Linked DNA regions of Mytilus edulis. The protein of the gene in region 1 interacts with the protein of each later gene in a biochemical or structural test. Links are inferred from orthologs where the notes say so. Each region holds a gene or a part of one and is shown in the gene's direction. Other genes may lie near its edges.

Region 1 (16,500 bases):
TATAAGTTGTTTTTCATTCGTTGATGTGTTTGAGCTTTTGATTTTACAATTTGATTAGGACCTTTCTGTTTTAAATTTTTCTCGGAGTTCAGTATTTTGTGATTTTATCTTCTACACGTATAAGTTTATATGTATAACATGAAATAATACTTTTATCATTTCAACATGCAGAGGTTCCATTTGAGTACTTCACATCAATAGTATTAACAATTTACAAATAATTGGGTTAGGTTTTATGCATTTCTTGCGAATGTGAAATAATTGAAAATTTCTCCTGCAGGAAATTTACCACATTTACAGATATCTGTTTGGTTTATATTGGCAGTAAAGTTGATAAGTGTTTCCTAGGTCAAGTTATACAATTTTCAGCTAAAAAAAATGATAAAAAAATTTAAAAGCACCTCCTACAGGCTACACATAGCTATCAACGAAATAGCACAATCAAGAATTTCAATATATAAAATTTAACCTTTGAGGATAATGAAAGTGAACACACAAATAACTCAGAAAAAGTACTAAAATATCATCATTTCTTTCATTCAAACCTTCACAAGTGACTTTAGTTCCCTGTAGACCAAGACGTAATAAAGATTTGTTCTGTAGAAGTCCCTCCTTCATTTGATGAATTCCTTCGTTTGTTATATTATTGTGTCCTAAGTTTAAAGTTTCTAGACATTGTGTAGAGGTCTGAAATAACAAGTCAATAAAAGTATTTAAAAAAGTTCATTCATAACATTCTATGATTTTTTTAAGAAAAAGGTTACAGTGATAAAGTGATGACTGTTTTAGCCACTCAAGTTAAATAATATATAATTCTTATATGATTTGCATATCTGTAAATACTTGAATTGGATTAGTCAATTAGAATTTTTCTCTAAGTTTACACTTCGATAAACCATGTTTCCGAAACTACTTTTGTAATCTATTCATGCGCGATACACAAGCTTGCAGTGATCCCGGGATTTTCAGCAAATTGAGATTAAAAACAATTGCATAACAGTTGTGACTATTCTAGTGCATATATAACAAAAAAAGAAATAAATTTATTGCACTAAAGCTTCGAAAATGTACAAAAATTAAATTTAATAAAATTCCACGAAATTTCATGAATGATTTGGCGAATTTACGTCATGGCAAAACACGACGTCATACGAATGGAAATTTTCAAGGTAAAGATTATTTCGTTACGTGTACGCTTTAAATTCGGAAAAAATTTAATTAAAATGAAGTTTTTGAGGTAGGTGCTGTTTCATTTAAGATTCCGTTGTATTTATCGGACATTTATGGTTTTTAGAAAGTCAAGATGGCGGCGTACTCCTTAGTTACGACTTGCCATTGTGCTTTTAATGGTGAATATATATAGTAGCCATCAACAAAAAAATGTTTGGCTGAAGAATTATAAGGATTAAACACATTTTTTCTAGAGGTTATTGATGTGTAAACCGGGGCTCTTACTCACAAACTCAACATAAAAGTCCTTCTTCGGACTTTTATTCAGTTTGTGAGTTAATCGCCCCGGTTTACACATCAATAACCTCTAGAAAAAATGTGTTTAATCCTATAATGTTGGATGGGAGTTCAAATAACTTTTCTAGATATCTTTACGTAAATATTTTCACATAGGTATGAAGTTTTTGATAAAAGTAAAGTAAATATTTTTTATGAAAAATAATTTATATATTTTTTCTTCTGTTTTATTCATCATTTTGAAAATACTCTTTAAATCATAGTTATTAGTTTTAATATATAGTTCTTCAAATTATCTTTGGATTTTTATATTTGTACATATTTTGTGCAATGTGTCTCATAATCCAAATAATATAACTGGATATTCATTGTTCTATACATTTTAATGTATTGTATAATATGTATGTCAATCAATATGTGACACAATAACAAAATAGATTATATTTTTTTTAATATTGAAGAGACAAGCTTATAAAATTTGTTCCATTTCAATTAGCATGATTAAGTCTACTTACAAGAGCTTTAGCTATAGATGCCATGCCTTGATAGGTAAGCTGATTATTCCACAGAACCAGTGTATTTAAACCTTGGTCTAAATTCTGTTCATATAAACCATCAGATACATGTGTAATGCCTATGTCCTGAAATGAAAAAAAATATACAATGATTAATTGGTCAGTTTTGTAAATGTTATTTCCATTCTAGAAAAAGCAATGCATATTTAAATCATGATACATTTTCTTAGATCTCTATAAGAGTCACAGCACAGTATTATCAATTTCTAAGGACTCTATAAGTATATGAGTTCCAAATACTGTAATTTCAGAAATTATTGCAATTTTTTTTTTTATTGCAAATAATGCGACAGGGTAATAATCGCAATAAAAACTTGCATTTTGAATATATTTTTTTTATGAATTGAACAGAATTTCTCTCAATATCGCAAAAAATTAAATCAAATTCTAGTCTAAAATGACAAAATCCCAATAACAAATGCATGCAATAATTTTTTTTTGTTCTTTATACTTTTTCCCATGAAACTAACCTGTAAAGGATTATTTCTAAGATCCAGTAACTCTAGTACATGATTATACTTTAGTAGACTCCCTATCTGTATTCCATCTGTAGGCATTAACTTGTTGTCAGCTAGAAACAGTTCTTTAAGAATGTCGTTCATCTTTATAGCTGCAACTGAAAAAATAACAACAAAAGAGATAATAGAGATACATGATACATTGAGCTATTATAGAAATCCATGTTGACCAGCTTGCAAACTTTGACAGCTTTATGCAATAGAAATTTCCATAGCTCTCCGACTTCTTTTAAACTGAGTTTTACTGTGCATATTGCTGTGTGTTTGCTTTTTCTACATTAGCTAGAAAGGGAAGGGTTGAGATCTTCCAAACATGTTAAACTCAGCCGCATTAATGCACCTGTCCCAAGTAAGGAGCCTCTGGCATTTGTAAGTCTTGCATGATTTTCATTTTAGTTCATTTATATATTACAGAGTTTAGTATATATGATGTTCATTTTCACTGAAATAGTACACATTTTTGTTTCAGGGCCAGCAGAAGCACTTCCAGGTTCTTGATTTTCTCTTTATGTTGAAGACCCGTTGGTGGTCGTTGACTGTTTTCTGCTCTTTGGTCGAGTTGTTGTCTCTTTGAAACATTCCCATTTCCATTTTCAATTTTACAGCTCATTGATTAAACTTACCAAGTATGACCAGAGATCGGCCAGACAAATAAGTATTTTCTAAATGGAGTATTTTCAGGAAACAACCCATCCTGAGGGCTCTCCCCATAATAGGTAACGATCTTTCATTAATATCACAGCTTCTGGCATCTAGGAATGTTAAAGCAGGAGTCTACAATAAAAAGTTTAATTGAATTAACACATATATTGAAATTTTCTTCATTATTGAAACAATAATATAGATTATAAGTTATTGTATCACTTACCAGACTAAAAACAACCACTCCTCATGTTTCCTTTAAGCTACATTTTTTCAATGTTCTTGACAAGGTGTGATAAGATTAATTTTTCGGTTCAAGCAGTTGGTATTATAGTTAAAACGTATATGACAATATATCGAAGGTACAGTTTCAATTTTATATGAAGTATTTGATATTGGCCATAGACCACTTTCTTGTACAAATTTTGGTCTATTTCAGTAACTTCGAAATTAATCATGGACATAATGATTTCAAAATGAATAAAGATCATCTTCTCTATACAATATACACATATAAGCAGGGGTCGAAATTAGCGCTGGTCCGATGGTCCAGGACCAGTAGAATGGGCGTCGGACCCATAGATTTTATCAGTTGGTTGTCCGGCGGACCAGTAGAAATTTGTCAATAAAAATCACTGATTGCATCGCAATCTCCATTTCTTTACAAAACAATTTACCTGTGAAAACAATTACACAGTACTGGGGGGGTATTACAATTGATCAAGTTAATTACTATCTTGGGTGAGTGTCCTTCATAACAATATAAAATGTGGAAATTTTTGGAAGGAGTTAAACCACTGGACAAAAAAGTTCAAATAAGTGAAAATCAAAAGGGAGATCGAAATTCTTTCCCTTCCTGATCATTCTGCTGATGCAGAAAGGGGGTTTTCTTAGATGAAACTTGTAAAGAAAGATTGGCGATTAAAATTGCATCCAACTGATTTATCAGATCTTATCAGATTCATTATTCCTGGCTATTGAAATGTGGAATATTTCTGGACAGCGCTCTAGACGACCCAGTTAGACACCCTATGGTGGCCGTGAGGATTAGGATGACGTGGAAGACAATGTTGATACTTTTTCTGTCCTTGATCCTGATTTTGATAAAGAAAATCATTGAGATTATCAAAGCCTTTTTCAAAATCAGAATCAAGACTATCCCTTTGTTCCTGTCTAACTTATGTAGAGGAAAGCATCAAAATAAAATTAAAAATCTATCATTTATATTAGTGTTTGTCAAATTTATGTCATTTTTGCAGGACCAGTAGATTTGGAGCCGGACCAGTAGAGTTTTCAGTCAGCTGGTCCAGCTTGCCAGTACACAAAAAAGCTTAAATTCGACCCCTGCATATAAGGTTGCAATATTATATGAAATTCAAGAATTTGATTTACCATCTAAAAACCAGCATAAAGAATGTCTGACAAGGTTCACCAACTATATATATATATCCTCTTTTCATCTCAGCATGGGGTACTTAATAAAATGATAAAACAAACCAATAAATACCTTTCTGACCATTTTGGCACAGGACTGCCAGCCTCTTATTGATATACCTTTGTTGAAGGAAACATTCACTTTACAAGCACTCTCATAATATTCTATCATCTCGAATATTGCTACGGAAGTCTGCAAAATAAAATTCATGAATGAAGTGATTGACAGTTTATAACTGTGTATTTAGTTTAAAACAAGAATGTGTCCTCAGTACACGAATGCCCCACTCGCACTATCATTTTCTATGTTCAGTGGACCGTGAAATTGGGGTAAAATCTCTAATTTGGCATTAAAATTAGAAAGATCATATCATAGGGAACATGTGTACCAAGTTTGAAGTCGATTGGACTTCAACTTCATCAAAAACTACCTCGACCAAAAACTTTAACCTGAAGCGGGACAGACGGACGAACGAACGAACGAACGGACGCACAGACCAGAAAACATAATGCCCCTCTACTATCGTAGGTGGGGCATAAAAATCCATACACATTTGGAATTTTAATACCAGTATTCCAGTAACAATACATAAAAGTAGTAATTTAAATAGATAGGATTGGGGGGAAAATCTGAGAGGATTTTTATTTGCAACTTTGTAAAAGAGAGGAATTGGTTAAAACCTATGAATTGCCATCAGTACCTAAATGAACACACGTTTCTTATATAGATTAGACTGTTTTCTTGTTTGAATGGTTTTACACTAGTCATTTTTGGGGCCCTTCATATCTTGCTTTTTGGTGAGAGCCAAGGCTTCCTGTTGAAGACCATACTTTGACCTATAATGGTTTACTTTTACAAATTTTACAAATTGTGACTTGGATGTGAGTTGTCTCAATGGCACCCATGCTACATCTTCTTATATCTATTAAAAATACTGGAGGGGAGAACTATTTAAAAGATTTGCTACTAAATTTTACTGTAAGAAAATAAAGAAATCAAGTATAGAACAGTATTTCTTCGTATTTTTATATTATTCAAGATACAAAATGTGTGATAAATAAAATTGAGAATGGAAATGGGGAATGTGTCAAAGAGACAACAACCCTACCATAGAACAGACAACAGCAGAAGGTCACCAACAGGTCTTCAATGCAGTGAGCAAATCTTCACTTGCACCTGTGTGATTGATTGGGTAGATAAACTTTATGAAGTCAGACTTATCAGTTTTGGTGTTTTGATGACTAAATTTCATTTTTATCTACATGTAGGTTTATAATCAATTTTAGGAATTGTCATTTAATTAGAGCTACTTTCAAACTTAAATACCTCCTCATCTAAATGTGTTCCCTCCAAATCAACACATTGAAATTGAACAAACTTAAATATTTCTTCCAAAGTCTCCACATTCTTCATGTCAAGTTTTTCACCTGTGAACAGAAATAAATATAATTGATGTCACTATTTTATGAAGTATCAGATAAATTTAAGGCCAGTCCTTTATAATTACATGTATGTAATCTCTGTAATATAACTTAATTGATTCTTTCATTTTTTTAAAGGTCATTCTGAAACAGAGGTATCCCTGTATATCTGCCTGAAATGAAACGTGCAGATTTTACAAAATTTTAACCTTGTCAAAAATATTTAGATCAAACTTATGTGAGAAATGTGTTGTAGGAAGAACAGGCACATACACTTTAGGTAGCTGTTTAATTTATAACTTACCTTTCAAACTCAGGATTGCATAGCGTTCACCAACATTTTCTATTCCCTGAATAAATAATGACAGAATATAAGATACACAGACTATCTCAGTTGATGAATATTAAATTGAGTTAGTTCTTTTTAAAAAAAAAAGAGTTAACTGTAAATTCAGAAATTATTACATGCATTTATTATTGAGATATTGTAATTTTAGACTAAAAAGGCAACAGTAGTGTACCGCTGTTTAAACTCATAAATCCATGGACAAAAAACAAAATCGGGGTAACAAACTAAAACTGACGGAAACGCATAAATATAAGAGGAGAGCAATGATGTGATTTTAAATTTTGAGATATTCAGAAATATCCTGTTTCATTCATATAAAAATTTAAAATCTGAGTTTTATTTATTGTGATTATAATCCTTTTCGCAATAATAACAACATCTCAATATTTTGGAATTAACAGTACTATTCATAGATATTCCCACAATGGCTAAAATAGTTTTCATTATACATTTCTTATAAAGTTTCCAGAATTCAAAATTATTGCAGAATCAAATAATTCCTTATGTATACCTGTAACTGATTAAGTATAGTGGGAATAGGCCTGGTGTTGTGCTTTTTACAGCTTTCTTTGTATGAATTAATTAGATCTGCTGAAGTCCAACTTGGTGCTGAAAAAAAAAAATATCGACCATTTATAAAGAAATAATTCTTTATCAGATGACATATATATAATTACATAAGTACTTTACACCATATCAATTTTTTCAATTATGTTCAATAACCTGAGTGTCAATTTTGCTTACAATATTCTAAGTAGGTTTCAGGTAAACATATCTATTTGATCCTCAACATACATGTACTTATTTCTACTTTAGATTTCAAACCTGCAAGTATCAGGTAGCTACGGCTCCAAAAGTGAAATAAATCCTGCATATGTTGTTCTGGTCCCAAGTCAATCCAGTCCCATAGAAAAAATAAGGATTCTAATATGACGACCTGTTATAGTCAACCAGTATAATCACATCTTTAGCGCAAACGCAGTAATATACAAAAATGGCTGTTCTGCAGTATGACCAACTTATTTATACTGCCAGATATTCTCAATTTTCAACATAAAAATTGCCAGTTTACTAAGGGCAAGATTCAGATACAATATATTTACCTCTGTTCTACAGCAAAATAAACAAATCAGTCCATTTCAATTTATTTTTCATGGTAAAATTTCATAAAACAAAAATTCTGCGAAATGATGTTATTGTCTTGGCATGGCAAAGAAACAAGGTGATGTCACAAATATTTTTCCATAAACAAAAAAATCAAATGTTAATACATGTACCAGGCAAAATGCAGAAATCGATGGGTCTCTGTGGAAACTGTTAAAATATGGAAAAATAAAGGTTGGCAGGTAGGTGAAACTTACATAAATGAAAAGATAAATGAAAATTGAACAGATTGATGCCCGATTTATATAATTCCAAGGCCGTCAGTCGGCACCAGAAGCGACGAAGCAGCGTAACTATTTTGGGTAAGCAAATATCCAATTTTTGATATGGGACGAGCTCTGACGTCCCACGGCCCCAGCTTGTCTGGCAAAACAGCCGTTGGACGTCAGAGTAATCTCGGACTAATCAACACAGACTATTTTGACGCCCGTATTTTGGTATGGAGTTATCGTGTAATTATCTATCTAGATTAGACATGTGATAAATGCTAAAATGTGCTTTTTACTCCAAACAATACACACCATTTTTCCAAGGATCTGGAGGTTCAAGATAACCGGACACAGGTTTATCACCAAAAAATTTCACATTTCTTTTCAATGGGCTTTTCTTATCTTGATTTTCTGAAGTGTTAATTTCTTTTGTATTCGATAAATCAGCTTCCGATTCATCTCGAGATGCATTGTTTACTTCCTGCATATCACATTTAGAATCACCAACAGGTGACGGTTCTGTTTCTTCCACTTTTTCTGTATTGTCATTGTTGTTTTCTGAGTTAGCAGTTGTTGTAATTTCTATTTCTGACATTTTTCCAGTGTTATGTCATGTTATCGACTCTTTTTGTTGGATAGAATGACGAAATAAATAATTCAATTTTATGAAAACATTCTCCATTTTCATTACACGCAATCAATCAACTGACTTTTGTAAGACTTTTATTGATTGGACAGCTGTATTTCCATTAGCCAATCAAAAAGTCTGATTTATTTTTGTCTTTGGCGGAATATTTGATATTTCTACTTTCTGTTCGAAGAGAGGACAAGAGAACCAGAAATGCTGGAAATTTAGTGCTTTACAGAAAACTAAGAACATAATATTTTGTTTCTCAACAATCAAAAACATCAGGTGATTTATTAGCCTTTTTAAGAAAGAGCTGATATATGTTTATACAATTTGGAAATCAAATTTAAAAACTGAAGAAATGAAAATATTTAGCCCTTCATTTGTGCACTGCCACTAAATTATTTCTTGACATACATGTTTATATCATCATCTACCAGAGACTTCAAGTCATCATACATCCTTCAACTGTTTGTGAACTCATATCGTCTGTTAACTGAGTATAAATAGGACGGTAACTAGGCCTCAAAAGCTCGGTAAAAAGCTCATTAGAGCTTATGTTTGTATACCTTGCCGACTCTAAATAAAGCTTATTCAATCATATTTATATTTACTCAGGAACAGTTGTAGACGAGACAGGGTTTGTGGGCAGCCGATTGAGGCACCCAGACAATGCTGAAAATTGTAAAAATATGATATCCTAGATATATCTTATAATGTATCTCTGATTTTTGTATCATATCTATAGACAACTTTCGAGTTTGATGCATTTCCGTCAAAAACTCTGGTTTTAGTGAACACCGTCAAAAACTCTGGTTTTAGTGAACATCATTCGTGCGTTTAGGGGCGTGGTCACTACCGTTCCAATGTTGAGCAAGTGGCCGGGAAACTATAATGTTATATTACACGAATCATTTGGCAAATTAAATTCTAATAATTGACAATCAACACTGCTGTCATTAATAGGAAATTGTAATGAAGTACCTACAAAACAAAAATTATTTCTAGTTCATCCTGCACAATGACGATCACTAAGACGCTTGATGAATGTTAATAGTGCAGGGATACAGGCGACCCCCTCTATCTGGTAAATGACGTCATAAAGGCGCGCATAATTGACGAATTTTTTCCAGTGACGGATGAACTTGAACATTTTTGTCGAAAGTGGTCTATTAAATTTGTTTCATATTTACCATATTAAGAACTGAACATGCATAGGCTATCAGAGCCTGTTGACAGATACTTGATTTGATTTTGGAAATTTGCCATTCACTCTTCATCCATTAATTTGCATCACTTGAACCATTGAGGTGATTATACAACAATCACTTTTCTTTTCTTCTGTTTATTTTCTCCATTCTTGCTGAGAACATATAGCATGTATAGCTAACATACATGGTTTATTATTTAATGTCAGATCAATCACAAGGTTGTAAGATCTTTTAGAATTTCTGGTTCACTGGTTGTATGAAAAACTTAACATTCAGATGATTTTATAAGTATGAATTTAAATGTAATTCAATACATTTTTTTTTATCTTTCAGATAATGCCGCCCAAGGCAAAGGCAGGCTCTGGTAAGTGTTATTGGGCAGTAAAATAAAATCACATTGATAAATAAAAAAAAAACATTACCCATATATTTATATGTTGTAAAAGTGAGAAATAAAGTGCAAGTTCCAGCACTGCTCAGGGAGGAAGTAAAGAATTAAATCCACCCTAAACATCATAGGGTTGATTTTCTAGGCACTTAATATATATGTCATTTATGTATAATTGAATATTTTGATATACTACAAACTTTTATATATGATTAAGATTTTGATGTAAGATATAAAATTATAAGGAATTGCTGTACAACTACAAAATTATGCATTAACCCTAATGAAGCTTTTTGGTGCCACCCCCTTTACTCCATTATGACGCCTGTATAGTTCCTCGATCAGTTGTAACGTCTTGCGACTCACACTTGCTTACAAAAAATGTGTATCAGACTTAATAAAATTTGTATCTAATATAAAAAGGATATTCATTAGAATATCTGACTTAATTTCATTGATGAAATATTTGTTTTCAATACTTTATACCTGATGATTTTTTTTGATTGAAAAAATCCTATGCAAATTCAGTGTGTAAAAAAAAAATCTATGGAGGAAAGGGTCATAACTCTAAATTGAAAACATTTATGTTCTATTTTGATCATGTTGATACTGTTTTAAACTAATAGACAACATTTCAAGTGGACAAGATAAGAATACAGTCATTTACATATATAATCATCATGAAATGTCCTGGTTTATAACAGTTACTTGTCTGCATTAACAAAACATGTCAACTTTGTATATTCAAAGCATGATTTTATGTCAAGCTCCACATGTAAATAAGTTTGTCTTGTGTAGCAAAGATTTTATTTATAGCTCAAAAGAAAACCAGAGCTCCCAAAGCACATAAATTACCAGACCCATTTCCAAAAGGGGAATTACTGAAGGATTATGGGAAAAAACATTGGCGCCTAGGAGAAGTGATTGGCCAGGGAGGATTTGGACTTATATATCTAGGTAAAATTTATATTATTGTTTGCTCAATTTTATTTGTTGGGATTCTGTAATGAATCATCTTGATCAAAATAAATGAAGGTATCAAAATTCCTAATTGCATTTTTGTCAATTATAACAGAAAGCAATGAAATAAGAGTGACATAGACTTTGTGTACATGTATAATTCATAAATATGTATTGGCATTATTCAGTGTTCTAGCCAGAATTTGAAAAGGGCAGGGTGCTAGACAGAAAAAGGTCATTTTTAGGCGTGAATGTCATTGAAAAAAAGGGCAATTTTACACGTAAATTTATATATCATTGAAAAGAGCGTAATTGTGCCTCATAATTAATTAGCACATAATTTTTATTATGCATTATTGAAACATCAAGTTTCAGTTAAAATGGAGTTGTGTAATTTAATTATTTTGGTTCATTTCTTATAGTTCATAAATCTATAGTCATCATGCTGAAACCCTCTTCGAAACTATTGCCTAACACTGTATATTAAGCTGTCTTGTAGTTTTTTTTATATCTTTATTCAATTCTTCAACATATATATACAACAGATATATTACATATTACACAAAAATATCACAAGGCAATGTTCTTAGTATAATCACATATATATTATAATAATCAGCACAATAATTAGAAATTAAATGTTATGACACCTTCGGTTTCTTGTACCAGAATATTATTCTTTAAAAAGTGTTTCTCAAAAACATTTCTCATACATCTTGCATCACACAAATATTCATACAGGTAAGTTATATAATGTTTTACAGTGTATTTAAATAGTCTAATAAGATCAACATTACTGTTTAAATTTTTAAGTAAATTCCTTCTTCTGAAGATACATTATCTTGCTACAGATAACATGAAATTGACAAAACTTACATTTACGCTAAGCTGTCTTGTAGTTTTTTTTTTATCTTTATTAAAGCTGTCTTGTAGTTGCTGTCACCACAGCAGTAAGACCAATCATATTTTTCAACATTGGGAATTCTTCATTGCACTTGATAAATCAGTTAATGGAAGTATAGATGCAAAATATAATTTTCAAAATATTTATTTTTGAAGTGTATTCAAGTGAAAATAATTTAAATTAATATTCTAATGCTCATTTGCATTCAATTTTTTTTAGATTTAATCTTTTTACGAAATGAAACATAAATTTAAGTAATATATTTTAAACAGGTGTTAAATAAGGGGAAGTAATCAAATTGTTTTTCAAACTTTTTTGAAATACACACAAATTATTTATCATGTTTATGACCTAAATCTAAGGTAATTGGTGTTAATTAACAATGTGTTTGACACCAAAGCAGTCAGGTAAAGCCATACACTTATTGGGTCACTTAATTTGACAGCTTGCACAGGTAGCTGAACTTCATGTTCATGGAACAATTACGATTTTACCAGTATTTTAAAGGCAGAAAAATGCCGATATTTCTGTGATAAAATTAGCAGGGCACCCAAGGAACAACAGAAAAAAGGCATGGGCGTCAATAAAAAAGAGCTAGCGCTGCGCCCTGTTCAAACATTGTAGCTAGAACACTGTTATTGTTTACTTGAAATAGAAAAAGGAAATGGGAAATGTGTCAAAGAGACAACAACCCATCAAAGAGCAGAAAACAGCTGAAAGCCACCAATGGGTCTTCAATACAGCGAGAAAATTAGTTACTTTCAATAATTTAAAAGGAGTCATTTTAGTGGTTCTTATTAATTGTAAGAAATTAATTACAAAATAGTTACAATAGTAATTATGATGGATTTCATTAAAATAAGACATTGCAGCACAGTTTATGTACAGCATTTGTACAGGAAGAAATGTTGTCAATCTAATTAAAAACCAATCTCTCATCGCTTCTGTTTTCTGATATGTCGCGTAGGAGATCTAACGAAACCCGCTTTGAGGTCACATGTGAGTGAACTAGAAATTATGAATTTATAATGATATGCAAATGAGTTGACGACCTATCAATAAGCCAATCAAAAAAGTTTATGAATTTTTTGGACTGAAGATTTCTTTGTAAATAAAATGAGTTACATCCCTTTACCTTACGTTAAACTTTCAAGATCGTCGAAGACTCATTTTCATTAGTCGAAAAAGACACACCTACAAGGTCACTCACATGTGACCTCAAAGTGGGTTTCGTTAGATCTCCCAAGCGACATATCAGAAAAAGGGAGCAATGAGAGATTGGTTTTTAATTAGATTGAAATGTGTTGGATCCCATATAGAAAAGTAGGAACTTACAAAAGAGAAGATATTTTCAGATTAACAAGACAGGAGACAAATGCTGCATGAAACTATTAAATTAATTAAATGACTATTGATGCAATTTATTATTTTTATGAACAGTACATACAGGTATATACATTTAGGAGGCTCAAAAATCGCTCAAAAAATTATATACATGTTTTTGACAATTTGACGATTGATATGATTTTAAAATATAAATTCAAATATATATATAATCAGTTTTATGGAATCACTCACCCTTAAAAAAAAATCCTGTTATTTATCAAATGTTGCAATAAAAAGGACTTCAACTGTTTAAAAGAAAAGTGTTATCAAAGCTATCTGATCTGGTAATAGTTTAAAGCTAAAACCTAGATTCTGTATCTTTACAAACAGAGATTTGTGTGTTAACTTTTTTTTTAAATGCGTTGAGTGTCTGTTCATTGCTATACATGATGTTTATTCTCATAATGGAATAAATTTTCAAATGTTTTTTTTTATTCTTTTAGCTACCCTTGTAGATGGTACAAAAGATGAAACTTATGTTGTTAAAATTGTAAGTTCTGATTTACAAATGATTTAGAAGAAAAACATTATATTTTAAATACAGAGAGGGCTAGCTACAGTGTTTTATGATTTGTAACTTTTATATTTATTTTTTTGAAACTAACAAGGTAATTGTGCATACATATGTGTACTATATAATTTCTGCTTTCTAACTTAATAACAACTCTTTGGCATTTTCAATATGAATAATTGTTTTATGAGAAATATTTCTGCCTTATGTTAGTGTAAGCTATGTTCAAACGGAATAACCCTGAAAACTTCTAATTTGTATCACAATTCACTTGTTTACATTGAGTCGCAGCTTCTGTGATGGATTCCATGAAGATTGCCTAGTTTTGGAGTGCTGTTGTTTGATCAGAAGTTACAGATAAAATGAACATTTGCTTAAACATGTGTACAGCATATTGAGAATGCTTTTCTTTTTCATTTGATATCCTTTTGACAGTACATTTTGTACCTTGAACAGTTTTGTACATTAAAAAACTGTTACCTGCAGACAAAGTATTTGGATGAATTGCAATAAAATCTCAAATAACTGTTAAATAGGAAAAATTCTTAATAGCCATCATAGATTTAGCCATGTATGTCAACATAATTTGGTATTTCAGGAACCCATAGCTAATGGACCATTGTTCTGTGAACTCCATGTGTATCAGAGAGTAGCTAAACCAGAAATGGGTGAGTATGGACCATTGTTCTGTGAACTCCATGTGTATCAGAGAGTAGCTAAACCAGAAATGGGTGAGTATGGACCATTGTTCTGTGAACTCCATGTGTATCAGAGAGTAGCTAAACCAGAAATGGGTGAGTATGGACCATTGTTCTGTGAACTCCATGTGTATCAGAGAGTAGCTAAACCAGAAATGGGTGAGGATGGACCATTGTTCTGTGAACTCCATGTGTATCAGAGAGTAGCTAAACCAGAAATGGGTGAGTACATGTAAAGAACAAAATATAAAATGGCCAATCAACCTTATAATCAAAAATATAGATATACTGCAGAAGGGGTTGTGAACAGACAATTTTAGATATTTAAACACAGCAAAAAAGAAAAGAAATTTTATAACCAAATGTGAAAGAAAACAGCAATTCTGCAGAAATTGGATTTATTTCCTAGCTGTTTGGTAATTTTAACCATGACCAAAGCTACCATTTACTTATTATTGTTCAGTATTTTAATTTATAATATCTAAATAAACTGAATCATCATCAAATACTATAATACTTTAACCTTTATAGAATGGTGCAAAGATTTTAATTATTTAGCTAATAGATTAACAAGTAAATTTGATAATATTTCAGTTGATGAATGGTGCAAAGCAAAAAAGATGAAATACCTAGGAGTACCAAAGTATATCAGCAGTGGAACGCATACACGAGGGAAAGAGACATTTAGATTTATGGTGATGGAAAGATTTGGTACAGATGTACAAAAAGTATTTGAAAAGAGTGGTAAAACATTTTCCAGGCACACTGTGTGTGCATTGGCTCTAAGATTGGTAACTATTTTTTATTTAATAATCGTATTTATCGCTATTTTGTGCATTTTTCTTTTGATCTTTTTTTGTGATAATTTTCATATCATGTTTCTCGCTTGAGATGGAAAAATTATCGCTAGAAACTAAGGAGGCCATGTAGCGTTGCTAACGAAATTGACATGGAATTGACAACGTCGTCATAGGTAAAATAGCGATAAACAGATTATCATTGGTCATCTCAACTCTATTGCTTTTCTCACTTTCGCTGTACCAGCTCAAGCGAGAAAATCAATCTTGTTGAGATGATCAACGATAATCTATAATTATCATCAAAGAATGAATATTTAATAAGTTTTTAGATAGAAGACAAAACATATAATTTGGACACCATTTTACGAACTTATCTAGAAATGGTAAAGACTTTTATGTATGTGCAATTGAAACCAGTGTAATATATATGATAGGAAATTTGAACACAATCTATAAATGTATTATTTATAAATATGACATGGATGAAAGCATGTCAGAATTGAGTAATTTGAAGAGACACATTTGGAATATTAATCTGTGTTCTAGGGGCACATTCTTGTTTTTTGCTTGTTTGGTTTTGTCCATGTGTTATTGCTCTAACATTTTACATGCAGAAATATGATTGATTTTTTGTGTCTTTCTTATTTCAGCTAGATACATTAGAATACTTACATAATAAAGGTTATGCCCATGCTGACATTAAAGCTTCTAATTTACTGACTGGCTTCAGTCATGGAAAAGAACAACCAAACCAGGTAAATATAGAATATACTAAATTCTGTCAATTATTGTATAGTTCAATTTACTATTTTGAGAATTAAAATATGGTTTTGAAAAATTTAATTTAACAAATGCAAAAAATCAAAAGTTTGCTGATAATTTGAATAAAACGTATCCTATTTTGAAAAGTTGCTGTCAGCAAAGATATATTTTACTTTAGGGTTTTTCAATCAGAATAAATGTAGCAGGATAGGAAGAAATTATATTTTAGACAAATGATTTGTTGGTGTTTCAATTTTCAAACATATTTTTACCAGGTATATCTAGTTGATTTTGGATTAGCTTACAAATTTTACTGTGATGGTGTTCATAAAGAATATAAAGAGGATCCTAAACGATGCCATGATGGCACAGTAGAATTCACAAGTACAGATGCTCATAAAGGAGTAGGTCAGTATCAATTAACAGGGAAGCTAAAACTCAATTATCTAGGCACTACAAGTAGTTCTGCAAT
Region 2 (16,515 bases), about 36 Mb from region 1:
TGAAATTTTCAGATGAATCAAACAAAACATTGTTGGGTTGCTGCCACTTAATTGGTAATTTTAAGGAAATTTTGCAGTTTTTGGTCATTATCTTGAATATTATTATAGATAAAGATAAACTGTAAACAGCAAAATTGATCAGCAAAGTAAGATCTACAAATAAGTTAATATGACCAAAATTGTCAATTGACCCCTTAAGGGGTTATTGTCCTTTAATGACAATTTTTCACAATTTGTTCATCACATTTGCTAACTTTAAAAAATCTTCTCCTCTGAAACTACTGAATGGATTTGGATGAAACTTAGCATGATTGTTCCTTAGATTATCCTGCACAAAGTGTGTGCTTCGATTTTTTATCCGTCAAAAAACATGGCCGCCGTTACTTAAAATAGAACATAGGGGTCAATGCAGTTTTTGGCTTATATCTCAAAAACGAAAGCATTTAGAGCAAATCTGACATGGGGTAAAAATGTTTATTAGGTCAAGATCTATCAGCCCTGAAATTTTCAGATGAATCAAACAAACCATTGTTGGGTTGCTGCCACTTAATTGGTAATTTTAAGGAAATTTTGCAGTTTTTGATCATTATCTTGAATATTATTATAGATAAAGATAAACTGTAAACAGCAAAAATGATCAGCAAAGTAAGATCTACAAATAAGTTAATATGACCAAAATTGTCAATTGACCCCTTAAGGGGTTATTGTCCTTTAATGACAATTTTTCACAATTTGTTCATCATATTTGCTAACTTTAAAAAAATCTTCTCCTCTAAAACTACTAAACCAAATTCAACCAAACTGCAACTGAATGATCGATCAGTAGGGTGTATAAAATAAAGTTTGTGCTTTATTTTTTATTTCGTCAAAAAACATGGCCGTCATGGCTAAAAATAGAACACAGGGTAAAATGCAGTTTTTGGCTTATATCAGTTATTTATCTCAAAAACTCCAGCATTTAGAGCAAATAAGACAAGAAGTTAAAGTATTTATTAGGTCAAGGTCTACCTGTCCTGAAATTTTCAGCCGAATTGGGTAACTGTTTTTTCAGGTATAATGCCCCTGAATTGATGATTTTAAAGAAATTTTGCAGTTTTTGGTTATTATCTTGAATATTATTAAAGATACAGATAAACTGTTAATAGCAAAAATGTTAAGCAAAGTAAGATCTACAAATAAGTCAATTTGACCAAAATTGTCAATTGACCCCTTCAGGAGTTATTGCCCTTTAAAGACTTTTTTCACAATTTGTTCATCATGTTGACTTACTTTAAAAAATCTTCTCCTTAATTGAAACTGCTGTATCAATTTCAGCCAAACTTAGGCTAAATGAGTTTCAGAGTATCTAGTATAAATTTTATATTTCATTTCCTTGTATGTCAGATACATAGCTCCTATGGCTAAAATAGAACATAGGAGAAAATGATTTTTTTTTTTTGCTTTTGAAGAAAATAGGACGATTCAAAGAACATTTAAATAAATTGAAAAGCAAAAATAATCATTAATGAGAGATTTAACCAAAAAAATTAAGGTGAGCGATTCAGGCTCTTGAGAGCCTCTTGTTTATGTTATTTCTTCATAGACAGAAAAAATATTACAGTCATTCCTTAATTAAATATTCTTAATTTTAACTGAATGCCTATGTACATACAATGAGTGATCTTGGATGACTTCATAATTCATATTTTTATTAAAAGTGTGGTTAGTAATTCTATTTTCACATAAGAAATTAATAAAAGAAATTTATGTCATATTTTTTAGGACAGTATCAAAAAAGAAATAGAAGAATTAAGATAAACGTTCCTAATTTCTAGATTCTAGAAATCACAAAAATATCTACTTTGAACAATTTTTTTAATAAGTTATCTCCCTTATAAAAATCTCTATTTGGTTCTTTAATTCTGATGCATTAAAATATACCGGTTTTAAAAAGGAAATGTGAAGTTCTAATCAAAAGACTTTCCTGTAAAATTATTTTTCATTTTCCTTATAATATTCAATGTTAAGATATGATATTGAGTTTTAAAATAAGCAGCATGATTATAAATGGCAACCCGATATATTATCTTTAGAAGGTCCAGTTTAACTGTGTAGTTCTGCCTTAGATAACTAGTTCTGTCTTAGCTGACTAGTTCTGCCTCAGCTGACTAGTTCTGCCTTAGTTGACTAGTTCTGTCTTGCAAGATCTTTTTATAGGTGCTCAATGAATGATGAATGTTTATATTAGGTGCTGAATTATTAGTTGTTATTTTTAACCTTTACATACTGTCTCCAGACTGAAATCCTGCACACGTTTTTCTTCTTCACGCTGATGGAGGTTAGTTCAAAGTGAATCTCTTAGAATTATTTTGGCAATAATAAAGAGACATTCTTATATAAAAAAAATATTTATATGTGAACTTTTCCCATTGTGATCTCAAATGCAACATATTCATTATTTGTCTCAATAATAGTTTGTATTTTTTTAAGCAACATTAAGTTTAGAGATCTGTTTGTTGAGTCATGTAGGATATACCAGTTACTTTATTCCTTAGTTGATCATTTAGTTGATCAAATTGTGTATATAGAGCTTATGTTATTTGGTTTGTAAGTATAATCAAGACTAACCTATAATCTATGTTATAGAATTGATTGTCTTTCTTGTTATAGGAGCGCTTTACATGTAATTTGTACTTGTATATTGTAAATATTGTATTTGTTATAGTTAAACGCAAATCAATTCGCTTTTTAAATGTTTTATGGGATGACCTCCCTTTGTTTTTGTTATATAACTTTTTGTTAATACATTTGTAGTAGATAACCATTGTAAATTTTAGATACATCTTGGTGTTGTTCTGTTCCAATAACTTTTGATGTCTTTCTTACAAAACTTCATGTAAAATTATTTATATAGATTTTATTGGCCCTTTTCAATTCATATATCATATCATTTAATTAATTTTGTTAAAAATTCCTCTAAACATTCCTAAAAAAAACAAAATCAGGAGAGTGCAATAAATATTTACATATCAAGTAAAGATTATTATAATGGCTTTTAGAACTTCTTTAATCTTGTCTTATTTGCATTCTTTACCTGGAAGACAAGAAAAAAAGATCTGATGCTATTAAACTACGCAATTTTTCAGTGGACAAATTTTCATACCAATATTGAGGAACATTACTGTTCAAATCACTTGCATGTTTTTAGCTCACCTGGCCTAAAAGGCCATGTGAGCTTTTCTCATCACTTGGCGTCCGTCGTCGTCGTCGTCTGTCGTCGTTAACAATTTTTCAAACATCTTCTCCTCTGAAACTACTGAATGGATTTGAATGAAACTTAACATGATTGTTCCTTAGTATATCCTGCACAAAATGTGCGCTTCGATTTTTGATCCGTCAAAAAAGATGGCCGCCGTTACTTAAAATAGAACATAGGGGTCAAATGCAGTTTTTGGCTTATATCTCAAAAACGAAAGCATTTAGAGCAAATCTGACATGGGATAAAAATGTTCATTAGGTCAAGATCTATCAGCCCTGAAATTTTCAGATGAATCAAACAAACCATTGTTGGGTTGCTGCCACTTAATTGATAATTTTAAGGAAATTTTGCAGTTTTTGGTCATTATCTTGAATATTATTATAGATAAAGATAAACTGTAAACAGCAAAAAAGATCAGCAAAGTAAGATCTACAAATAAGTTAATATGACCAAAATTGTCAATTGACCCCTTAAGGGGTTATTGTCCTTTAATGACAATTTTTCACAATTTGTTCATCATATTTGCTAACTTTAAAAAATCTTCTCCTCTGAAACTACTGAATGGATTTGGTTAAAACTTAGCATGGTTGTTCCTTAGATTATCCTGCACAAAGTGTGTGCTTTGATTTTTGATCCGTCAAAAAACATGGCCGCCGTTACTTAAAATAGAACATAGGGGTCAAATGCAGTTTTTGGCTTATATCTCAAAAACGAAAGCATTAAGAGCAAATCTGACATGGAGTAAAAATGTTCATTAGGTCAATATTTATCAGCCTTGAAATTTTCAGATGAAACAAACATCCAATTGTTGGGTTGCTGCCACTTAATTGGTAATTTTAAGGAAATTTTGCAGTTTTTGGTCATTATCTTGAATATTATTATAGATAAAGATAAACTGTAAACAGCAAAGTAAGATCTACAAATAAGTTAATATGACCAAAATTGTCAATTGACCCCTTAAGGGGTTATTGTCCTTTAATGACAATTTTTCACAATTTGTTCATCATATTTGCCAACTTTAAAAAATCTTCTCCTCTGAAACTACTGAATGGATTTGGTTAAAACTTAGCATGGTTGTTCCTTAGATTATCCTGCACAAAGTGTGTGCTTTAATTTTTGATCCGTCAAAAAACATGGCCGCCGTTACTTAAAATAGAACATAGGGGTCAAATGCAGTTTTTGGCTTATATCTCAAAAACGAAAGCATTAAGAGCAAATCTGACAGGCTAAAAATGTTCATTAGGTCAATATCTATCAGCCCTGAAATTTTCAGATGAATCAAACATCCAATTGTTGGGTTGCTGCCACTTAATTGGTAATTTTAAGGAAATTTTGCAGTTTTTGGTCATTATCTTGAATATTATTATAGATAAAGATAAACTGTAAACAGCAAATATGATCAGCAAAGTAAGATCTACAAATAAGTCAATTTGACCAAAATTGTCAATTGACCTCTTTAGGAGTTATTGCCCTTTAAAGACTTTTTTCACAATTTGTTCATCATGTTGACTTACTTTAAAAAATCTTCTCTTATGAAACTGCTGTATCAATTTCAGCCAAACTTAGGCTAAATGAGTTTCAGAGTTTCAGAGTATCTAGTATAAATTTTATATTTCATTTCCTTGTATGTCAAGAAACATAGCTCCTATGGCTAAAATAGAACATAGGAGAAAATGATTTTTTTTTGCTTTTGAAGAAAATAGGACGATTCAAAGAACATTTAAATAAATTGAAAAGCCAAATAATCATTGATGAGAGATTAAACCAAAAAAATTCAGGTGAGCGATTCAGGCTCTTGAGAGCCTCTTGTTTGTCAATCAACTTTATAAATTTTCTATTGGCTTCAAAGTAACATAGATTAATTTCATTCTGTTTCTAAAGAATCTGGAAAAAAAGCATTGCTTGAAGGATGTATGGTGACCTATATTTGCTTTTATCCATGTCCTTTGCTGTCTGGTGAACAGATGTCGTACTCAGTTTTTGCAATCATACATTTTGATTACTTCCCTTTGTATTTGTGATCATACATTTTGATTACTTCCCTTTGTATTTATGAAACTGCTTACTGAAGGTTTTGTTGTAAATTTTGATAATACTATCCAGAGTGCATTTAATTTGAATTTTGAAATCAAGTGTACTTCCATTTACATTTTTTTTTGTAATCTTTATATATGTCTATGCTTCTTCCTGTTTTGTTTGGTCCCACAGAGTCAGTAAAACTTGTTAGGATAAGCACTTAGGCTAGGTCAGGAAACTTGTCTCATGGGCACTCAAACCACATTTTCTCATAAACACTTACATTTTATTATATCTCTGTAATTATAAAGAAGTTGATTTGTAAATTCAAAAATATATTATCACCTCACAGATTGAGATAGAGGAAGACTTTGTTATTATTAGTTCTGTAGAATAACTCTTATGGTCCTATATAAATATGCATTGTCTCATATGCAATGAATGAAGCAGAATTTATCACATATCTTTTTTTTTCTTTAAAAAACTTTTTTTTTCTTGTAACAATAGTTCAAGATAAACGTATATTAACTTAGTTCAAAACTTCTTTTTTTTTTATGCTTGACAGATATATTGCTTTAAAGCTGTTAACAAAGTATACATCTTTATGGATGAATGTTTCCATCTGGCATATAATATTGTATAAACTTTGTCTTCAGCGTTCAGTGACTGCTAAAGAAAACTGTAAAGTTTTTACACACAATATTTTTCAGTTATTATGGATTAATTGCTTGTCTGTTTGGCAGGGTTTGTCTGGCCTTTACTGCCTGTTATAAGTTCATTAATAATGTAAAATTTTAATGATACCTTTTATGTGATAAAAAAATTAGGTACTGTTTATATTAAAATGTGGACCATACGAGCTATTGCTACAATGATTTAGATATAGTATTTATAGAAAGGTGTCTAAATGCTGTGATACACATACATAATGTTAACATATGACGAAAGTCTCTAGAACTAATAAATTTTATCTTCCATACAGTCATATTTTTATTTATTATCACTTTGCCAAAACAAACCTCAATTTTGGGTTAAGATTGCATGAAATGAAATCAGTCCCTACGGTACTGATTCTACTGAATTGATACCTAAATCTTTCATGGTTTAAAACTACTTCTGAGATGAACAAAATATAGTGAATTGATCAATAACATTCTTAACATCCTATCCAGAAATTTATGAATGAAATATTTGCTAAGATATTCAAGTTACTAAGTGAAGAAAATTACAACTTTTGCAATAAGCATTAACCTAATATCTGTTCTAAAAATATCAATGATATCATTGTTAAAGTAATCTTTGGTTTGGAGTTATCTTTCTTTGTCCGTAATTGTAGTTGAATCAACTACATCTAATGCTTTACACAATGAAATGTTTAATTTAACCTCCCACTGAACTAAAGCAATCTTTACCTTTCATTGCTTACAAGCACTTTGATTAATCCACACACTGTTTGTCCATTTGTTCTAAATGTTTGACCTATTATGGTATTTTCTTAATATCACCAATAGACATAGAATATATATACCTGGATATCATGTACCAGTGAACTTGTGATGGTGGGATCATGGCAGAGGTGGATTAAGAGGGGGGGGGGGGGGTGTCCTGCCCCCTTTTTTCTGTGGAAAAAATGGTTGATTATATAGGGAATCATTGCAGCATGACCGGAGCAAGCCCCCTCTCAGGCAGTCATTCAGCCCCCAATTGTGAAAAGTTATGGATCTGCCACTGCATAGCAAAGTGTCCTATAGACACATATTCTTGTTTGTTGTGTATTTTACTTTTAGAACACATGGTCTTGATAAGTTAAAACCAGTATATAAGAAAAATTGGTTCAAACCCATCACATTTTGTACATGCAAAAATGTCAGGCTATCTCAACCATTTCAGAGAAGTTAGGTGTTGTTGATTAAGATGGTCTATTGCACAGTCCAATATTTTGCAAATTCCTGTTAACCTTTTAAATATTTTTTCTGGTTCTTGGGTACATATTAAACTCACCCCAAAAAAAAAATAATAATGATATAGTCTTTTGTGCATTTTTAATGAAAAAAGATGTGATAAAAAATAGATGTGGTATGATTGCCAGAGAAACAGCTATCCATCATAGTCGAAATACAGTAGATGTTAGCATCTGAAGGTCACTGTGTTGCCTTCAATAAAGAGCAAAAACAATACCACATAGCAAACAAAAAGTAATGTCATGAGAATACTGAACTCTGAGGAAAACAAATGGCCCCTCATGACAAAATGTTAAAGCGTTCAAAATTGTAAACCAACAACCAGATTTGCATACAAACAATCAAAATATATCTGATATACACAACTTTTGAGGAAAATGTTTTGTACTAAGAATTTAAGAGAATTTATTGATAATTTGTGGTTTTGTAGGTACAAGAATACTTTTCCATATTAATTCCTGATGTGAGAAAAAAAAAAGCAACAAAGCTAATTTTTGCTGTAATTACTGCATTTGGACTTTGATAAATTGTTAAAAATCACAGTCTGACTTTTATTCTAAAGGTTTTCAGATATTGGGATGATTTTTGATATGTGAGCTAACCATGATGAGTTACAGATTAAGTTTAAGTTTCGTTCCGCTCCTCTAATTTTGTCAAAATTAAGGGTTTACAACTTTGAAAATCATAGTTATACAGACTTTTTTTCTATACACCTCCAGATTTTGATCTGATTTTTTTATATATGAGAGACTACCATCATGTTTGTGTCCACATGTGTTATTGAAATTGCAGATTTTTCAACTTTTTGAGACAGGGCCATTCGTGTCGCTTTGACACATCTAGTTTTATATGATCTATGCATTAAAATGGGACATATATTTGCCCCCCCCCCCTTTCCACAAACAAACACGCATACAGGCACTAAGTCTTGTCTCAGAAAAAATAAATCCTATATACCTAATTTTATTTTCTAAGACAAGTGCCTACCCCCCCCCACCCCCCCTTTTTTTTTCTCTGGGACCCCCCTTAAAAGAATGGCTTGAATTGTAGCAAAATTTTCACAATATCAAACAGGAACGAGGAAATAATATTATAATACAAAATTAAAATTTTTTTTTTTTCCCTGGTTGATTTTCCATGGACACAAACTATTTTTTTTCACTTTCCATCTTAAAAATTATATCAGGAATAATTAGAATCTATATTTTTATAATCTCAATGTTTAGCATATGTTTTTCCTTATTTAGCTTCAGTGGAAACAGGTTATTAATTTCACTTAATCCCTTTTTAAAAAAATTATTTAAGGGAGCAGAACCATTTAACATTTTAATGTTGGTTTTTTCCTTAGAAATATTCTATCCCCAAGATGAGACTACTATTGTTATATATAGTAGTCTCAGTCCCAATTTGATGAAAAAAAATATTGTGATCAAGCAGATGCTCTAAATTCATATTTTCTCTGTGGTGTACGGTGACAGTGTTAGATTTTGATTGTTAGTGTCTAAAAGCTAAAAAAAATATGTTAATATTAGTGGCGCAAAAAAAAATTCCGGACTCAGACAAAACACTTGACCCCCTACCGAAAGGTCAATTATTGCAACCTTAAAACAAGAAAGTACAAATATTCAAATTACCTAGAACATGTTAAATGCTTTAAAAAAATATTTATTTTACGGTTCTCCTATGTGAGGAGGACAGATCTAGATCAAAAGAAAAAGTCAGAATCTTTTTAATGTTTAAGTATAGCTGAAAAATTGAAACTGATTCAAGCTGCTTTTATACATTGACTACTTGTGAAAGCGCCAATTTCCTGAAAACGAAACTCGACGAAACAGTACATTATTTATCTTTAAATCGGAAAAATCCCAACACAAGTGAGTACGTTCATAATCTTATATATGAAGGAAGCATCAATCAGGCGATTAAAGTAATGACAACTGCAAATAAAATGACAATAAATGCATTCCGCCACAAGGTTTATAGTCCACTTTCGTTTTCCCTAATTTGTTGGGCAAACATCAGAGCTTCATTGAGCTTCACCCATCAAATTCCACATTACCAGTAACTTATTAGTTGTGTCAGGTATAAGTTGTTTGATTTAAAGTTCTGGATTTGTTAATTATAAAATCCATGTGACGTGTTTTATCCATATGTTAATGATTAATGTGAATAGAAAATACAATATTAATCTAGTTATTGATTTGATTGCAATTTGTTCATCATTTATTTGCTATTTGGTGATTTTTAGTCTTTGGTTTGACCCGGCTGGGTTTCAAACCAACGGTATCAGGTCTGTTCGCGCCCAATACACTTTCGCACCCTACACGTTGGCACCTCGCACGTTCGCACCCAAGGTCCGTTCGCACTCTACACGTTCGCGCCCAATTTTAATTCAAATTCCAGTTGAATAATTGGAAAATCATGATTGGGTTTTTTAAATTGCTTTGTTGCAAATACTGAATGTATTTATAGCTTGGTACGATGAAAACATTGAAGATTTTAAATGAAAACACAAAAGATAATTATTTTTATCAGCTTGGTCCCTTTGATCTGAAACAATGAAACAATAAAATGTAGGAACCAAAATATAGCAATTCTTTAATATAACCAACGATCTCCCACACTTATGGTGAACATGATACCACTATTCTATGGTTTATTCTATCAAAAGTAGACAGTAAAGTACATATATTGTTGTTATTGTGACACTATCATTATAAATAGAAAGTGAAAGTACATATATATTGTTGTTATGGTGACACTATCATTATAAATAGAAAGTGAAAGTTAATATATATGTATTAAAAGTAACTTGTGAGAGTCATAATTGTCTTATTCTTTAGCTGTCATTAATGTGTATCCATGCTAGTCTTCACGCGGAGTGGCAGCCCAGGCAGCTCAGGCTGGTAAAATTGCTCTCGGGCCTGTAAAAATCAGACCTACAGGCCAACAGAATCTAACTAAAAATTTTCTAAAATTGTGCTGGGAGCCTGTAGATTTAGCAGTTCAGTGTGAAGACTGCCATGCATGGTGTCTGTTCCATATATCTTATCTATATGAAATGATGTCCATTAGGATTTAGCCCCACAATGATTCTGTATTCATTGGGCATGGTACATTTGTAGGATGCATGAGTATTTTGACAATTTTACTGCAATAGATGATTTCAGTCAGGTTCCCACTAAGGTGAGTCTATGAGTCCTGGTCTCACGAAAAATATGTCTGGTAAATTTTTGGTTTTTAGTTCAAACTTTGCTTCTGTGGTCAACATGGTCAACCTTTAATATTTCATATTGAACTGTAAAGTTACACATGTATGAAATTTACCTTGTTTTATAATGATTGCCTGTCCATCAATCACTGGACAGATTATAAACTAGTAAAAAGAGAAAGGTTTATATGCAATAGAAATTATTTTCAATTCATCAAATGAGATATATATTTCAAGAATATTTTGATTCCAGATTCATTTATTTTATACATGTACCAACTATTTGAAGAAACATTTTCAAATGGAAAGTCTGTTGAAATGTTAGGTCCTGTCCCTGAGACCACTTGATCATTCACAGAATCAACCAGTATGTTTAACTAGTTATATGAAAATTTCTTATCTTTGTAGTAAAATGTCTTCAACTTCTCAAAAACACAGAAATTTTGTAATGGAGCCAATGGGTGACAAACCTGTAACAGAGCTCGCAGGGATTGGACCAGTTTATGGTGGTAGACTGACAGAAGCAGGTTTTGATTGTGTAAGTTTTATCACTTTTGATAAATAACACAAAAATATACAAGAAGATGCTGACAAAATTACAGTTGGGCAGGTGTTGAAACAAAGAGTTTTTAAACACCTGTTTACGTGACGTTTTATGGTATACCGTTGTCTGTCTGTCCAACCGTTGTCAACTACCATTTTTGTTTTTTACAAGAACTTTAAAACAAGAACGATAACTATCTTTACTATACTGTAAACCAACTTATTTTCACAAATGCTTTATTTTGCATTTAGCCCTTTCTGGTTTAATTTCACGATTTTCAAATTTACTTGATGTAGTTAGGTACATTTTTCTCAGGAAAGATCCAAGAGTTAACTTTTAGCAACAAATTATATTCGCGTTTGTCTTATGCTTGTGAAAGTTGCCTAAATATACATATTGATACATAGATCTGTCTGTTAAAAGATTGAAGTGATGATTTTCATAGTAATGATGTAATGCAAAATTTAAAAACCTAGTCTAAAGTTTTCATTGGTTTATAGTGAATCATGACAAAATTGCAGGTTGACCCGATACACTTGTACTTGATTATATAAATGAGTAAAATAAGATAAAAAATTCTAAAACCGACCGTGCGAGGGCTGTATAGCCAGTCAAGGTCGTTAAAAACTTCCATATATAAAAATTTCTACCTACCGATAATTTTTTTAGAAATTAGGAAACCCTCCCTAAACAAACGTTTTTTCTTAATGCTTTGTGTATATCTTTTTTTCAGGCCTATGTTGTCTTAGGACAGTTTTTAGTGCTGAAAAAAGATGAAGATATGTTTAAAGATTGGTTGAAAGATTTGACTGGAGCCACTTCAAAACAACAGAATGACTGCTTTCAATGCTTAAAAGAGTGGTGTGATCAATTCTTGTGAATGTTGTATCAGTACGATAAAAATGTAAAACTATTATCATCTTATAAATGTGGAACCTTTAATCATCTTCCAAGTGTTTTATTGGTTAGCATTTAATGTATCTTTGTTAATCAACCAAGGACATTTATTGTGTATTATCAAATACGAATATTCTGAATTAAAAATTTTAAATCAAAAATACACATTTTTGACTATGTTGATAATAATTCAATAACTGAGGAACAAATGAGTTTATAATATAAAAAATAATATTTTTCATGATTTTAGGAAAAAAACACTAAAACACTATATATTTACCTGAAAAACATCAGGCCTGCAAGAAAGACTATAGGTCAAGTCAATTGTATTGTTATGATTTTGTTTTGTAATCATCAAAAGTTTTTTTCAAATATGAATGCAAAAAGGGCTGGTTACATTTAGCTAAACTTTGTAAATCATTGAAATAACACATACAGTCAAATTTTGAGCTTTTTTATAAAATGATGCAGCTTATTGCATCCTATTATTTCTAAAACAGTTGTCTTGAATATGTAATGTAGCTGTCAGATCTATTTGTTTATGCACATAGCTTTCAAAATATATTTACTAATTGTTCATTTTCATCAAATAATTTATTAATTTTTATACAACAATGAAGCCACATTTACAACAAAATAAGCATATCTTATTTATACAACACAGTTATGAAGTTATTGTTGTAACTATTGCATTACTATATATAATTATTATTCATGGAATAACTATTTTGTGGGTTAAGGTGAACCAATGATTTGAATGTTCAATGAAATACACCATTAAATAGACTTGCATGCAGGATTTGACAAAGCCACAAAATTAAATAATGAAAAATACAATTCTTCTACAATCTGCAGTATTTTGTTTTAGAAGGGATGGCAAGTTTTGATGGTGGGAGGAAGCATCCCAAAGATGTTAACTGTGTTGCCATTTATTTTATTCTTATTGTTTTAAGGTAGATCATAAGTAAATATTTTTTGAGACAGAATTTTCTTATACTTAGCCAGAATGAAGATTTTAATATGCTCTTTTCAAATATATAATAAAAAGGAGGGGTCACCGTGCTATTTTTCAAGCTATGAGTCGTTAAAAATTGCCTAAATTTGGTTAGATTGTTCATGGGAAAACACATTTGTGTGCATAAAAAAAATCTATGAGATAGAATTTTGAAAAAAATTGTGAAAAGATAGGTTTTGTAATATGTTTTAAGAAAATAAAAAGAAAAAATGGTGTCACCGAACTTGTTTTCTTGCTACAAGTAAAAAGAAAAAAATTCCCTATCTGTCCAGTATAAATTTTTTACTAAAAGAGTTATCTTCCCTTAAATGGCTCGTATGAAAAAAATGATTCTAAAAACAAGAAAAATTATATTTGTTTAAATATTTTGGATTATACAATAAATTGCCAAGTTTTCTTTATATTATTAAACAGTCTAACCATTAAATTGCAAATCTGTCTTCAAATTTGCAGATTTAGGCAAATAACTAGACCGATTTTTTACTGTGATTGTTCAATCCAAGATGGCGGTATACCATGAATCTACCTTAAGGCCAAATAAATGAAAACCAGCTTCTCAGTGCCTCACTCATCAACTCAAAACCTGCTTCATGGCTGGTTTTATTTTAGAAGAAACAGTTCAGTGGTGAATTAACCTGGCTGGTTGAATTTTGGTTGCTATTTGAACATTTATTTATATAGCCATGTGTTTATGTATTCACACCCTTATCATATATTTTATTGAAATGTATACAGTACACAAGAATTTCACCAGATAAACATGTTAGATTACATTCATGAATGTGCAAGTTTGGTTGGTTATTTTTCTTTCTTTGACATTGTAACTTTTTATGTGAATTGAATATTAGTTTGTCCAAGTTTTATTGTTTAAAACTTGAAATCAAATTGATAGTTACATGGTAATGCACCAATTTAGAATTTTTAATACTAAACATTTTATCTGCTAAAGAGGAAGCTCCACAAATTCTATTCTATTTGTTTGAGTGTTTCAATCACTAGCAGAGTCAAAACCTTAACGCTGTCAAAACCAAATGGTATTTCAATATTAAAGCGTTTATATGATATTCATTAACTTTGATTTACTAATTAAATGTAGTTTGTGATGATGTCGTACATAAAAAATATCCAAAGTATTTTATTTGTTTAGTTTGCAATATTTTTGTTGTTAACATAGGTGTAACGCTTTCCTTTAGTAGTTGTTACCTTTTTTTTTTAATATTTGGTGCAAAATATGACTTTTAATTGATCAAAAAATATATATATGGAACTTTGTACTGGCCTCACTATGTAACCAGACAAAAGTTCTCTTGTTTAAGTGCATGTAATGTCATTTGTAGTTATTTTAAAGCCAATTATCCCAAATTAATCATGTAAATTTAAAAGCAGATGCATCCAACTTTAAATCAAGGGGAATGTCATAGTAAACTGTAATTAATTAAATTAGTTCAGAAAGAGGACTGCAAATAATAATAAAATTATTAGTTTGAATAACTTGATCTGAGTTCTGCCACATTGTTGACATTGTAATTACCAGTACAAAATGGTGATGAGATTATATGTACCGGTAGTTGTAATTTATTAGATAAATAAAAGCTTTGTTTTATCTACTTTATGTAATTAAATTCCTCCGCCATGTTTCCTTTTTCAGATAATTGGAGTTTGAGTGTTCCTTTTGTACCTTTTGCCTCTTTTTGTGTCCCATTTCTGGGCATTATGTTTTCCGGTATGTCCCTCCGTTAATTCATCTGTCCCGCTTCAGGTTAAAGCTTTTGATAAAGGTAGTTTTTGATGAAGTCGGATCAACTTGAAACTTAGTAAACATGTTCCCTATATGATCTTTCTAATTTTAATGCCAAATTTAGAGTTTTTACCCCATTTTCAAGGTCCACTCAAAATAGAAAATGATAGTGTGGATGGGGTATCCGTGTACTAGGCACACATTCTTGTTATAACTGCTTATATTTTACTATTAAATCACCGTCCAAGATTAGGGAGGACTATTGTTTTGTTTATTAATCAGGCCGTTGGTTTTCTTGTTTGATTGGGTTTTACATTTGTCATTTTGGGGCTTTCTATGCTGTATGTATTTTGACTATTGTTTAGTCCTATTGTCTACATCATATGGTCTCTTGTGGAGGGTAGTCTCATTTGCAATCATACCACATCTTCTACTTTATATGTATGTGTTACAATCATTCCATACATCAAACATAATTAACCCATTGCTTATAGTATCGGAGGAAAGGTTCTTATCTCAACTAAATATTGATAATGAGGCCAAGGTCAGTTGAGCCCTGCCGGACACCATACAATCATTCCATATACCAAATATATGAGCTGTTGCTTGAATACCTGAGAAATTGCCTAAAACCTCAAAAACTAAACATTGATCAATGAACAATGAGGTCAAGGTCACATGACACTGCAAGACAGAAATATACCCCTTACAATCATTCTATTTACCTTTTGCTCTAGGCCCTACCATAAGAGTGCCCATGCTGAAATGTCTCGCCTTCTTTACTAACCATTAATACTATGTTAATAGTCCTAAATATAAAGCTTTACAACAACTACTGTGGATTCACTTAGTTTCGTGGATTTCAATTTTCGTGGGTATTTAATTTCGTGGTTTTGCCAATATCTCCACACAAAGCCTATAGAAAAGTGTAATTCATTAAACATTTTAATTCGTGTTTCACCTGTATCCACGAAAATTACAAATATTGGTATCCGACGAATAATAATGAATCCACAGTATCACATAACTTAACATGATCCAAGAAGTTAGGTCAAGGTCATATAAACCAAACAAGAAATACATGTACACCTTACAATCATTCAATACACTAAATATATTGCTTGTAGCACTTAACCATGAAAGCTTAACGTTGACCAATGAACCATGAAAATGAGATCATGGTCAGATTAACAATCCCAGGCAAACATGTACACCTAACGGGTAGGATTGTGCCTGATGTTCATATGATGAAATCATAATCTTTCAGTCAGTTTAATTGAAGTCTGGAGCTGGCATGTCAGTTAACTGCTAGTAGTCTGTTGTTATTTATGTATTATTGTCATTTTGTTTATTTTCTTTGGTTACATCTTCTGACATCAGACTCGGATTTCTCTTGAACTGAATTTTAATGTGCGTATTGTTATGCGTTTACTTTACTACATTGGTTAGAGGTATAGGGGGAGGGTTGAGATCTCACAAACATGTTTAACCCCGCCGCATTTTTGCGCCTGTCCCAAGTCAGGAGCCTCTGGCCTTTGTTAGTCTTGTATTATTTTAATTTTAGTTTCTTGTGTACAATTTGGAAATTAGTATGGCGTTCATTATCACTGGACTAGTATATATTTGTTTAGGGGCCAGCTGAGGGACGCCTCCGGGTGCGGGAATTTCTCGCTACATTGAAGACCTGTTGGTGACCCTCTGCTGTTGTTTTTTATTTGGTCGGGTTGTTGTCTCTTTGACACATTCCCCATTTCCATTCTCAATTTTACACCTTATAATCATTGAATCAATCTGCATTAAATATAGTTTACATACTGCTTATAGTATTGCAGAAACAAACTTAACCTTGACCAATGAACCATAAAAATGAGGTCATGGTCAGATTAACAATCCCA

The links.
Region 2: of the proteins of serine/threonine-protein kinase VRK1-like (region 1) and barrier-to-autointegration factor-like, one has a biochemical effect on the other in vitro, tested with the Caenorhabditis elegans proteins (2 studies listed by BioGRID). The link is inferred for Mytilus edulis from reciprocal best matches to the Caenorhabditis elegans genes vrk-1 and baf-1.

What each region holds. Positions count from the first base shown.
Region 1 is NC_092346.1:41,394,421-41,410,920, reverse strand, and holds the start of serine/threonine-protein kinase VRK1-like, read left to right. Parts: upstream 1-8,469; 5' UTR 8,470-8,693; intron 8,694-9,952; 5' UTR 9,953-9,955; coding exon 9,956-9,983; intron 9,984-10,823; coding exon 10,824-10,964; intron 10,965-13,700; coding exon 13,701-13,747; intron 13,748-14,366; coding exon 14,367-14,436; intron 14,437-14,605; exon of another isoform or gene 14,606-14,621; coding exon of another isoform or gene 14,622-14,688; intron 14,689-15,060; coding exon 15,061-15,257; intron 15,258-15,916; coding exon 15,917-16,021; intron 16,022-16,303; coding exon 16,304-16,436; intron 16,437-16,500. Other genes in the region: protein phosphatase 1 regulatory subunit 37-like, read right to left, coding at 546-687, 1,983-2,108, 2,513-2,658, 3,184-3,334, 4,710-4,829, 5,964-6,064, 6,363-6,408, 6,919-7,016 and 1 more. UniProt on the Caenorhabditis elegans protein: Serine/threonine kinase that phosphorylates baf-1, thus regulating the association of baf-1 with chromatin and nuclear membrane proteins during nuclear envelope formation. May act through the egl-17 signaling pathway.
Region 2 is NC_092346.1:5,256,482-5,272,996, forward strand, and holds barrier-to-autointegration factor-like, read left to right. Parts: upstream 1-8,972; 5' UTR 8,973-9,089; intron 9,090-10,834; 5' UTR 10,835-10,838; coding exon 10,839-10,964; intron 10,965-11,703; coding exon 11,704-11,850; 3' UTR 11,851-12,820; intron 12,821-13,414; 3' UTR 13,415-14,490; downstream 14,491-16,515. UniProt on the Caenorhabditis elegans protein: DNA-binding protein which plays an essential role in nuclear envelope formation. Required for normal chromosome segregation during mitosis. Associates with the nuclear lamina via its interaction with LEM domain containing proteins emr-1 and lem-2.